Linked DNA regions of Oryzias latipes. The protein of the gene in region 2 purifies or fractionates together with the protein of the main gene of each other region. This does not show direct contact. Links are inferred from orthologs where the notes say so. Each region holds a gene or a part of one and is shown on either strand. Other genes may lie near its edges.

What was found. The genes of interacting proteins can lie anywhere in the genome.
Region 1: the proteins of cop1 (region 2) and etv4 purify together in Homo sapiens (affinity purification with mass spectrometry; 5 studies listed by BioGRID and IntAct, with this or other methods). This does not show direct contact. The link is inferred for Oryzias latipes from reciprocal best matches to the Homo sapiens genes COP1 and ETV4.
Region 3: the proteins of cop1 (region 2) and trib2 purify together in Homo sapiens (affinity purification with mass spectrometry; 4 studies listed by BioGRID and IntAct, counting the BioPlex papers as one, with this or other methods). This does not show direct contact. The link is inferred for Oryzias latipes from reciprocal best matches to the Homo sapiens genes COP1 and TRIB2.

What each region holds. Positions count from the first base shown.
Region 1 is NC_019877.2:18,210,446-18,214,609, reverse strand, and holds the start of etv4 (ETS translocation variant 4), read right to left. Parts: upstream 2,801-4,164; 5' UTR 2,638-2,800; coding exon 2,581-2,637; intron 2,159-2,580; coding exon 2,068-2,158; intron 1,972-2,067; coding exon 1,924-1,971; intron 1-1,923.
Region 2 is NC_019875.2:19,751,432-19,754,931, forward strand, and holds part of cop1 (E3 ubiquitin-protein ligase RFWD2), read right to left. Parts: intron 1,956-3,500; coding exon 1,812-1,955; intron 1,643-1,811; coding exon 1,534-1,642; intron 1,426-1,533; coding exon 1,344-1,425; intron 1,271-1,343; coding exon 1,154-1,270; intron 1-1,153. UniProt on the Homo sapiens protein: E3 ubiquitin-protein ligase that mediates ubiquitination and subsequent proteasomal degradation of target proteins.
Region 3 is NC_019882.2:2,597,931-2,602,039, reverse strand, and holds the start of trib2 (tribbles homolog 2), read right to left. Parts: upstream 2,801-4,109; 5' UTR 1,742-2,800; coding exon 1,472-1,741; intron 573-1,471; coding exon 280-572; intron 1-279.

The sequences.
Region 1 (4,164 bases), on a different chromosome or scaffold from region 2:
ACACAGAGGATGAACACATCTCTGGGGATTTTTATGTCTCGTGTTTCTTAGAATGGTCCTCACACAACACTGGTGGCTGATGCAGTCAGTTGGCTGAGGCTTTTGTATTTTATTTGCGTTCAAAGATCATCCCATAGCATGGCAAAACCCACCTGCCAATTTTAATGTTGTTTAACAGGTTTATGAACATATTACTAAGATTACTTTACATTAAAGTCCCACTCCGATCATGTCTGATCTATTTTCAAAGTGTTCCCACTGGTCATTTTAATTATGATGGTGCCATTTTTAGCTTAAATTAAAAAACGTGTTGTTTTCTATGACATACTTTCTGCAGAGAGGCAGTAGTTCATTTTCCTTATCATGTCCATCATGAAAAAAAGATGCTGCAAGAACATGTTAAAAACACCAACAAAAAAAGCATTTTCATCAGAAAGTTGCATCAATGGGATGCAGGTTATGGATAAATCTGAGACATAGTTAGAGTCCTGCAGCACAATAATCCAGTTGTACTACACATCTAACAACACATGAATGAAATCAGTTTTTATTCAAATAAGCTGCAATTCTAATCATTTTAAAAGCATTTGTAATATTTTGTCTCTTGCAGGAATATAAACTGTGCACTGGGACCAATCACAGAGCATTTGTTAAGTGATCACCCCAGATTAAGCATGGTGGACCAGGTTCAGCAGATTTTGGTGCAGTACGGATATGATGGGACCATGCGACACCTGATGGGATGTGTCAATTATTAAAATGTTGTGTCTGCAAGTCTTTCTTCATTCAACTTACTGGATGAATGGTTATCTAAGGTCGAGAGTGCGTGGCACAGACTGTACAGAGTTCGTGAAACATGTAGATGTGTGACTAAATGCAAAATATTCTAAAGCACCACTTCGGTGTGAACACCAAAAAATAAAACTGACAAAAAGACTTTTAAAAAGCCCAACTTGAAAATTACATGTATTTCTTTATGTCAACTGGAAATAACATTTTCAAAACTGACCAACAGATTGTTTTCCAGCCCACCAGCTTCCAGTGTCCAAAACACTTTTGTTTAAATTCCAGACCGGACCACCTTGTTTCCCGAAGTCCTCGGGATGTCAAGCTTTCTGCATGTATGCTTCCAATTAACGTTTAAGGTGAGCACGAGAAAGCGTCTTCTTCCTGCACATTAATGTGAAACAGCCCTGGCTGCGCTGCACAGACACGCTCAAGTGAAGCAAGCTCTGAGGATAAGCAGGAGGAGACTTGAAGCAGCACTCATCCAGCCTCAGTGGCTTTTGCAGTTGAATGTAAATGTCCAAAGAGAGTGGCGTTCTTCTTCCAAACCTCCACATCAAAGCAGCACAAACAACTACATTTACACCTCATTGTATGCTTCACTTAAACCCACACAGCCATGTTTTCTTTGCTCTAGATTGGCCCCCGAAACACACAATGACCAACAGCCCAACAGTATAATGACACCATTAAGGTTCATGTCAGCAGCGAACATATTAAGTCTACAAGCAGACAGTTGCCCCTGGCTGGGCCTCATTTCATCACTGTGTGCCTTTGAGTGACACAAGCCAAACAGTCAGTTTGTTTGCTTTGGCTGCAGCCTGGCACTCACGATACATGCCAATGTGGCCAAAATAGGCCATGCTCAAAGCTAATAATGTGCCGTCTGTGCTCACTCACACTTTTTTTTTCAGATGCAGGGGGAGGTTGTGTGGGTTATGAGCATATGTGTTGCATCAGAGCCGTTGGGCTTCTCAACCAAACCAAAAATGAAAGAAAACAATACTACATTTTGAAAAAAAAGTTTTCGTTTCTCTAAATAAGCTTTTAAAGAACCCAAAGGATGGCCATGTTGTGTGGTCAGACAGATAATTCATCAACACATAAAAGTATATTTGAGGAGGAAAGCAGCCTCACCTTCTGTGAGCCATGTCTCTTGAAGTTGGCTTAAATCCTGGAAGAGGTCTGAAGGGAAGCAGGAGAAAAATTTAGTCACAACATCCTTATAGACATCAGAATACACTCACAGATCAAGAAATGACACAGATTCCTAAATGTTACCTTCAGATTCCTGAGGGGGTAATTCTGTATCCATGAATTTCCTTTTTGCAGCCATCAACAGTCTATTTAGGGGCCCATTTCCTTGCGACTTCTGTAAACCCAGAGATGGGAAAGGAGTGAGTGTGTGTGTGTGTGTGTATATATATATATATATATATATATATATATATATATATATATATATATATATATATATATATATATATATATATACACACATAAACAAACGCGCAAAGTGACCATTTGGAACAGAGTAACGCGATCCTAAACCGAAAGAAGTAGGGGGGAAGCTTCGACAAACACGTTTAAATGTAGCACATGCCATCCTTTAATATGTGCAGATTTCGAAATAGGTCTTTAAAAGGCTTTGACAAACAGTTTTCCACCGCGCGCACAGCTGCGCCTTCAAGCCAAAACTCGTGCAGACGCAACGCGGAGCGCAGAGTCGGGCCATGGAGGAGGAAGAAAAACAACAAAAGTAGGAGTTCAAAACAAGAACTGAGGCATACGTACATTTGCTAAAGTGTAAGGCACTTGCTGGTCCAAATATCCATCCATCTTATAATCCATCCGTTAACCGTTTGTGGTCATTTAGGCTGCGTTAGTGGGACCCACGCAGCCTGCAGAGAGGAGGGAGCGCGGCTTGTGAATGGAGCTGCGTGGAAGCTGCATGCATAATGAGCTCCATTCACAAAAAAATGCCGAGGGGAAGTGATGGCGAGCGATTACCCAGCGGGCTGCGGGCCTCCTCACAAATCTGTGTCACTCTATAACTGCTTTAAACTTTGATGGCGCAGGCGCACTTTCATCCACATTGATTTATCGTCAGTTTTTATTTACAAATGAACAAGAAGTTTGTGTCTTTGTTGCCAAGTCTGCCCATAGATGTCTCTCTTGACGCACAGAAACCCCTAAAACACAACTTTATTTATTATTAGTAAAACTTTCTGAAACGTGTTTGGGAGGTGTTTAATGCCAGCTGTGCGGTCAAATCACACGGTTCGGTGATAATATAGAGACTTCTCTTCCAGCTCCACAGTGGAGCTTCGGGATTGGTGGATTTCCTTTGCAAGAGATCGAATTTCTCCGTTTTGTCCGGGTGAATGCACCAACTTATGAATGAAGTCTCGGTTCACTCCGCGCCCCAATCAGAGCGCCGAACGTCTGGCTCCTAGCAACCATAGGCGGGGTCTTGCCGCGTGAGCCAATCAGCTTCCCTTTCTGCCTGCGAGCCTTTTCTACTTGATTTTCCAGTTGTTTTTCATTCACAAAAAGAGGAACAGGGTGGAGGGGGTGTCCATTCATAAAAAAATAAAAAACTTGCCCCAGCACGAAAGTCGTGGCATGTTTTTCTTGTTTTGTCAGCGGAAATTAAAGGAACTTTATCTTGTTTACTCCTTTTGAACTCTTCCTTTGTAACTGGGAAGAAAACATGGCAGCAGCAGCACTGAGCAATGCTGACGTATATCCGTGCAGGAATACACATACCTGTGGTTTTAGGACACCATGTAAAAAAACTAAGAAACACACACAGAAGGAAAACAGAGGACGTGAAGTTCTTTGTGAGGCTTACAGTCAACTGAAACAGGTTTAAAACCTCAGTCGGTGAAGGAAACACAAAAGAATGTTTTTACATGAGTGAGGTCAATGTACAGCCCAGAGCCTGACTCTCCTCCCCCAGCAGCTCATACTCAATCTCAATAACACAGAGCGCCATACAGGTTTCTTCCTGCTTAATGGTATTTAGATGCACATTTAGATTTACACAGCAGACTATAAATTATACACCAGGCACAGCCAGCACTACAGTCCAAGGTAGAATCACGGAAATATAATATGATGGTTGTTTAAGATGTTTCATTCAATTTGGGCTGCTCTAAAGAGCCTGTGTGTTTATCCAGAAGGACAGGGCAGTTTGTGTGTTTGACAACTGAAGGAAAAGTCGTACAATGTTTTGAGAAGTGGCATTTCTCCCGTAATTTTTGTTTAACAATGAACCGTAAAACCTTTTTTTTTAATCCTTTTTGGAGACACATTCTCCTGGATCTCTTTTGTTTACCCTTTTACGGTGCTTTAAAGTCCCATTTTGATCTTACT
Region 2 (3,500 bases):
TAGATATTCTTCTGTCAGGACATAATAAAGTTCTTTTGGATTGTTCAGGATTAATTGTCTTTCAAACAAACAAAAAGAAAAACAGTTGAGATGTGATGCTGAATAAAATAAAAGAAATACAATATTATATAGCAATGACAGAAAACATTTTTAATGCTCCTTAACTGAGGAAAAACCTTGAATATGTTAGCGTGACACTACATTGTCCCTTTACTTTCTAAAAAGAATAAAACACTGTTTGTATCCAGTTCTGTTAAAAGGAGTTAGGCTCTCTCTCTCTTTGTTTAAAATCAATTTGTATTTTGTATCTAAATAGCCGAAATTGCAAAATCTTAAGCGAGAGCAACAGTTCTCTTTTCTTTCTAAAAGCTTGTCTGTTTTGACTTTTTTTATATATAAATTCCACCTACATTATGCAACATTTTCAGGGGTTAAAAAAAAGTGCTTTTTGTTGTGAAAAATTAGAAGTAAAAAAAAAAAACAACTTAAGAAATTACCTCTAGAATTTCTTTACAGAGCAAAAATCAAACTATGAAAAAGATCTGGTAGAAGAATGCACTAAAATTGACTTAAAAAGTCTCCAAAGACATTTTTAAAGAATTATTATAATTCCTGAATGACGAGAGTTTAGTGCCCATAGAATTCTGAAATGTAATATTTTATGGTTACCAACCAAAGAAATTCAGAAATGCAGCCGATGACAATCATACCTCCCTACCCAACTTTGACTGAAGAACATATGAAAATTATATCATTTTATTTTTAACAAAATCTTTAATTTTATAGAGTACAAGCATTTCAGAAGAGAAACTAGACCCCCAAAATACTTGTGATAAAAGTGAGTGGTTTATAATTTGAGTTGGGGTTGTTGAAGGTAATTTGAACGATTCCACTTTTACAGTTTTTTAATTAATTTAGTAATATTATATTGACGACAAAAGCTGTTAAGGATTTTGCCAAACGCTTTATTCAATAAGCACACAACATGAACCAAAATAAGAGCAGAGTTTAGTTCCTTCTTGCAGAATACAGAAACAGAATAACTAAAGTAGATGTGGGAAGATATTTCAATTAATATAACCTCTTAACAAATGCAGAAAAACACTAAACCAACTGAAAAATAAGCAGATAAAGTGAGGATTGAAGAAATTACCTGCACAGCCGAATGCCAGATGATACCTGGATGTTGGGCTAAATTTAACGCAGCATACGTTAGCTTTAGCCTCGATGCTCGCTACTGAGTTGTCCAGATTGGTTGACCACAGCTTTACTGAAAAAGAATGTTGGAAATCTCTAACACGATTGATGAGGATGACGTGTTCAGACGAGGGCCAAATCTTTACCTTTAGCATCATCAGAGCCGGAAGCTAAAAGTTTGGGGTCCATCAGATTAAAGTCGACACTCCAACACCTTTTTTCATGTTCCTGAAAAGAACAACAGTGGAGGGTGTCACTGCAGATTAGGCTAATCAGTCAGAAGATAAAAGGATATGAACAGTTTTATCACAACACTTTCAACTCTAGTCATCACACCTGGTAGACTTTGGACCGCTGGCCGGTGAATCCATCCCACAGAATGACGGTTCCCTCATAATCGCTGCTAGCCAGAAGGTTCTTATGATAACTACTCCAGCTGATGCAGCTGCAATGAAGAAACAGATCTTCAAATGTAGATTCTTGTCAACCAAAGCTGGCAGAAATTTTTTTTTTTCCTGTTCATATGTGCATATCTGAAATTCTTTTTTTTTTTTCATTCATGGAGCACAGTTTTAAGCAAAACCTAGTCTCTGTCGAGGAATGAATTCCTTTACCTGATTTTGGAATTGCAGGTCATTTCGTTCACAGGATAGTGGATGTCCACGGCATCCTGGATCACGGTGCCGTACTCAAACACCTTGATCTTCTTGGTCACACCAGCAATGGCAAAGTAGTCACAGTCACGGTCAAACTCGATACTGAAACACACGCGAAGATGGAGTCAGTGATCAGACTTCTCCCTCATTTTAGGTACGGTAATCGTTTCCTACGACAACAAAATCGGAATTTTGGCTTTAACCCTTCAACTCCAGCACGTTAGTGCCAGTGTTTCAATTCTTTCTATTACAGTAATATATAAATAATAATAATTAATCATTTTAATTTATTTATTCCACAATGGGGAAATTCTTTCTCCGCATTTGACCCATTCCCTGTGGTGGCGGTGGGCTGTGGGCTGGCCGCGCCCGGGGGGCGACAGCTGGCTGGGAGGAGCGGGGATCGATCCTCCAGCCCTTCGGTTGTTGGACGACCTGCTCTACCCCTTGAGCTAAACTGCCGTCCTATATTTTTTATATATATATATATATATATATATATATATATATATATATATATATATATATATATATATATATATATATATATATATATATATATATCTATAGATATATATATATATATATCTCTATAGATATATATATATATATCTCTATAGATATATATATATATATATATCTATAGATAGATATCGATAGATAGATAGATATCTATATATATATATATATCTATAGATAGATATCGATAGATAGATAGATATCTATATATCTATATATATCTATATATCTATATATATATATCTATATATCTATATATCTATATCTATATATCTATATATATATCTATATATATATATATATATATATATATATATATATATATATATAGATATATAGATATCTATCTATCTATCTATCGATATCTATCTATAGATATCTATCTATCTATCGATATCTATCTATCTATCTATCGATATCTATCTATCTATCTATCTATCTCTCTCTCTCTCTATATATATATATATATATATATATAGATATATATATATATAGATTTATATAGATATATATCTATATATATATAGATATATATCTATATAAATATATATATTGGAGAAGATAGCTTTGCTGTGTGTATTATTCTTTTTGTAGTAATACATAATTTGAACAGACAAAGCGTTTCATTATGGATACAGAAAGCATTGACAGTCACGTTTCATGCTCTGCTGTAAAAATGGGGGGACCATGACATTCCTAAAGCGCGGGTGGGTTAACCAAGGCTGAGCCAACGGCGGCCCCTGCTCCGTGCTTAAAGACACTGCTGCCTGAGTGGGCTTGAACCGCGGGCCCGGCAGCAGGCGCCGTGGCAGGACGGCTGGGTCAGACGGGGCTACGCTTCTAATCGAGGAGGCACGCAAACAGGGACAGGTTTAGAAACCCTCCTGCGGGCCGCGGGGGTCCTCCCCAGGAAACCAGGGCTTTGCCGGCCCCGCTGTGTGTCGGGTTTCTCAGAGAAAGAAGAAAAAAAGTAAAAAGAAGCTCAGTGTTTTTAAACACAGTGACATATGTTCAGAGGATGTTCAATTGGCCGTTCTGCATGCCAATCAAGGGGCGTATTTCACGCCGAGGATGATGATTTTCTGACAGATTTTTAAAAATACATTTATCTTTGATGGCTTACCATCA
Region 3 (4,109 bases), on a different chromosome or scaffold from region 2:
GGCATGCCTTTGACAGATAATCTGCCATGCAAAATGCTCCCCTTTCCAGCACGTTTTGCATGCTAAACTTCACCAAAGCCGGGCCTACAGAACCAACCGGGTATCTGTTTTTGTGCATGTAACGTATGCGCTAATAAACCCTGTCGACTGGGGCAGGAGATCTTGTTTTACATTCCCAAAAACCATCTGGGAGACGCGTGTCACTTTCTGTGCACGGTCTCCGCTTACACCGTCCTCGGTGTAAGCGGAGACATGACGCGGATGAAAGCTGCCGCTCACCTGTCTTCGTTTTTGAAGACGAACTTCCTCAGTTTGAGGTCGCGGAGCACCAGTCCGTTGTCGTGGCAGTGCGCCACGGCGGAGGCTATCTGATAGAAGAGCCTGGCAGCCTCGTCCTCCCGTAGCTTCTTGCAGGTGCGCACAAAAGAGTGCATGTCGCCATGGCTCCGCTCAAAGAAGACGTACGCTCGCGTCTCCCCGAGCAAGATCTCCAGGATTTGGTTTATGTGCTGATGCTGGCCCAGGGCGAAGTAGGCCGCCAGGGACTCTTGGTACCGGCCGATGTCGAAAACCTGGAAATTTAAAAACAGGCAGTCGATATTTAGACCTCGCTTCCTCCCCCCCCCCCCCCCCCCCCCGACAACTGTTTTTGACTGTTAGTGATATAAGGGGATGGCATTTTGCTGCAGCCCGGGGTTGCAGTGTCTCCTGTTTCCATGGCAACGCACAATTGACTATCCCTACGACCAGGTGAGAGGGCTCCACCATTTTTTTCTCTCTCCCTTCAGTCAATACAAAGACACTCCGCTCATCCCAAGCTGAGAAATCAATCCCGGAAGTAAGAATCGATGGCTGCCGTATCGAGGTCAGCGCTAAGCAGACGGGGTCAAGCGCCCGTTAGCTCACTGGCGGTGCCAAAGGCCGCAACTCCGCCACATGGGTATAAAACGCCATTTTTAGGCAAAAAAAAAAAAAAAAAAAAAAAGAAAAGGTGCAGGCCGTGTCATGAGAACGACCATCGCTGCAAATGATCAAGTCACGTAACCCAGATTAAGGGACATAATCTGGAATATGCAAAAGTCAATGTCTGCTGCACTGAAAAAAAATAAAATGTTCACGAAATGTTTGTGAGAGCACAGCCGTCCTAAATTCAAGGTTATAATCCCAGCAGATTAACAGGTAAGGGGGGAAATCTGAAAGAGGAAAGGGCTGCATGCGTGCGTGTGTGTGGTTATGGATTCCTTTGTCAACGTTACATCATGCAACACAAGCTCACCCCCCCCACCCCCACCCCATTCACTTTTTCCATTCGGCTGCTCTGTCAGCTCTATTTACAGCCCAAGCAATTATTCAAAAGCTGGCGGATGTGCAGCAGAACATGGAAACATCCCGCGTGAGCAGAGTATCTGCGTCCCATTTGTAACGAAGGGGGGAAAAATTAAAGCATTATAATGGGGGGGGGGGTACTCACCTTACACACCAGCTCGTCCCCGCTGTGCAGGTGGGCGGCCCTGAAAACGTGGTCCCCCTCCAGCGGCTCCAACAAAAGGTAGTCCCCGATGCGGGAGATGCAGTGCGACGAGGCCGGGGTCTCCGGCGGGCTGGGGGACCCGAGGTTGGGGCTGAAGCTCTGGTGAGACTCAGTGGTCCTCAAGCAGGTCAACTTGTCGAAATCGTGGGATTTGTGTCGCGACCTCCCATAGCGTGAAATATTGATAGGATTTGACCTCTGTATGTTCATGAGGAACTGCGTGTGATGGAGCCGCGAATTCCGGGGGGGGGCTTTTCCGTACAACGAGGAGGGGGGCACGGAGGGGGGTCGTTAGCAATAATTCACGATTTTTCAACCGGTCCGTTTGAATTAAATATAAAAAACAAAACAAACAAAAAAACACTTATACTCAAACAGACCCTTCGATTTCATTCAACAACAAAAACTGCATTTTCACTACAATTCATTCACTTCTCTTAATCTACAAATTATAAAAATAATAATTTTTAAAAAATAAAATAAAAAATTTAGTTGAATCTCAAAAAAAAATGCAAATTGAGACTAATATTCCCAGCAATGTGCTGCAATGTCACGAACGAGCAAGAGACAAAGCTGCAACAAAGGCTACAAAAAGTTAGCCTTCAAAATGAATGAAGACCGCTCGTCTGCTAGCTTATCTCGCCGGTTCTGACACGTTTCGTAAAACGGAAACAATATGTTAGCTTTGGCTCCAAAAAACAGAGGAAATGTACTATCTGAACATGGCTATAATAAAGAACATGTGGACTAATTAGAGTTGCTTTGATATTTTGTCGAACAAATGAAAGCTAGCCAAAAAACACACACACACACACACACACACACACAAAGCTAACTAGTTAGCTTGTTCGGCTAACGAGTACCACCAGGTTCACTGCACGGCCTTGTTCTCCAGATTCGCATCCGTGCACGGTGAAAATCATCGACCGCAAAGGAGAAACCCCCATCCGGAAAGAGTCACTGCTGCTGGTTGGTTCTTTTCAGCGAGTCTCCGTTCGTCCAACGGGTGAGAAATGTTCCGTCTTTCTCGGTGGGTCTCCTGCTTGAAGGAATGAAGGGACGGCCGGCGAATTTCCCAGGCCAATCCCTTGATTTAGCAGGACATCCTCACCCCCGTGACACCGCTGTGCTTCTTACGTGGCGGGGAATCGAGTCCACTCAGAGCGGAGAGGAAGCCAGCTGAGCGGATCGGACTGCACGCACTGCGCCTGCACGGAGCCAGCGAGCAGCCTTCCTACCGGGCGAAGGGAGGGGAGGAGGGCACGAGGGAGGGGAGGGGGGATTCTGCGAGCTCACATACGCGAGCGCTCTGGGGGCCGCCCACTGACGTCAGGGAGAACTCGCCTCCTGATTGGCTGCCAGTCTCCCCTGAAGTCACGTGGAAGCAACAAGCTGTGGTCGCGCCCCCAGGAATCTAAATGCAGCGCGTGGTGAAACGGAGTCGACTACGGCTGTACGTGCTGTGCTGCGAACGTGTTTCCTCCTGAAATGCCACTCAAAGGAGAGCAGGGGGATCCCTGCTCACTGCTCTCTACAAAAACGTCTGTAAACGCATTTAATTGTTAAAAAAATAAATAAATTCAATTAAACGTGTGTTCATGAAAGTTATCGAGACAAAAAAACACATTTTAATGTTATTTTGTACTATGGAACGAGGCATAATCATCCCATTTAAAAGGAGGTAAACATGAAATAGTTATACTGCTTTACAAAAACCAGGTCTATAGGGTTTATAGGCGACTTTCTTAAAGACTGACTTCAATGAAAATGGTAAAAATGCGTTCTTGTGACATTTTCTCATGATGAAGGACATATATGAAGAGAATTAGGCTCAAAATGGCTTTTTTAGTATTGCTTTAATCATCACTTACAATCAGTAGCAGATGAAGAAAATGCATTTGGAAAAAGCTTGTAAGCGTGACGTAGAAGCTACTATGATGATTAATCCATGAATTAAAGGCCGTCACCCGTTCGTCATGACATGACCATTCCCATTTCAACATGGTTTAATTTTTAACATAGAACCTGAAAACAAACGTAGAAACCTTGCATAGTGGCTCTGGAAGGCAGACGTTTCGAATCTGAGAGGCCGTTAAATGCACGTTTACATAGACTTTACATTAAAAGCGGTTGCTTGAACGTGCATCGCCAAGAGCTCAGCTCTGGTAAAAAACAAAAATGTGTTTTAGGGGTGTTTTTAACATGTTCTTGCGTAATTTTTCTGGCGATGAGGACATATGTAAAGAAAATTAAGCTCAATCGCTGCATTTCTTAGTATTTCTTAATTCAAAAGACTCAGGAACAGATGAAAAAAAAATGCCATTTGAAAAAGAGCTAATTTGTGACGTTGAAAAGCTCCCTGCTCTGCTCCATTCTGATGCATCCACTGGTAGACAAATAGATCCGAGAACGTCTGGAATCTGCATCAAAACTGTACAACTGATATTGCTAGTCATTTTTGTTGCAGCAGTAGTATTAGGTTGAGGGTGGGAGGGGCTGTAAGCTAGCGGGTGAGAGTGTAAACAAAGGGATGATGGGAAGGGGTGACGGGGTTGCTCCACGCTAATAGTCCCATCCA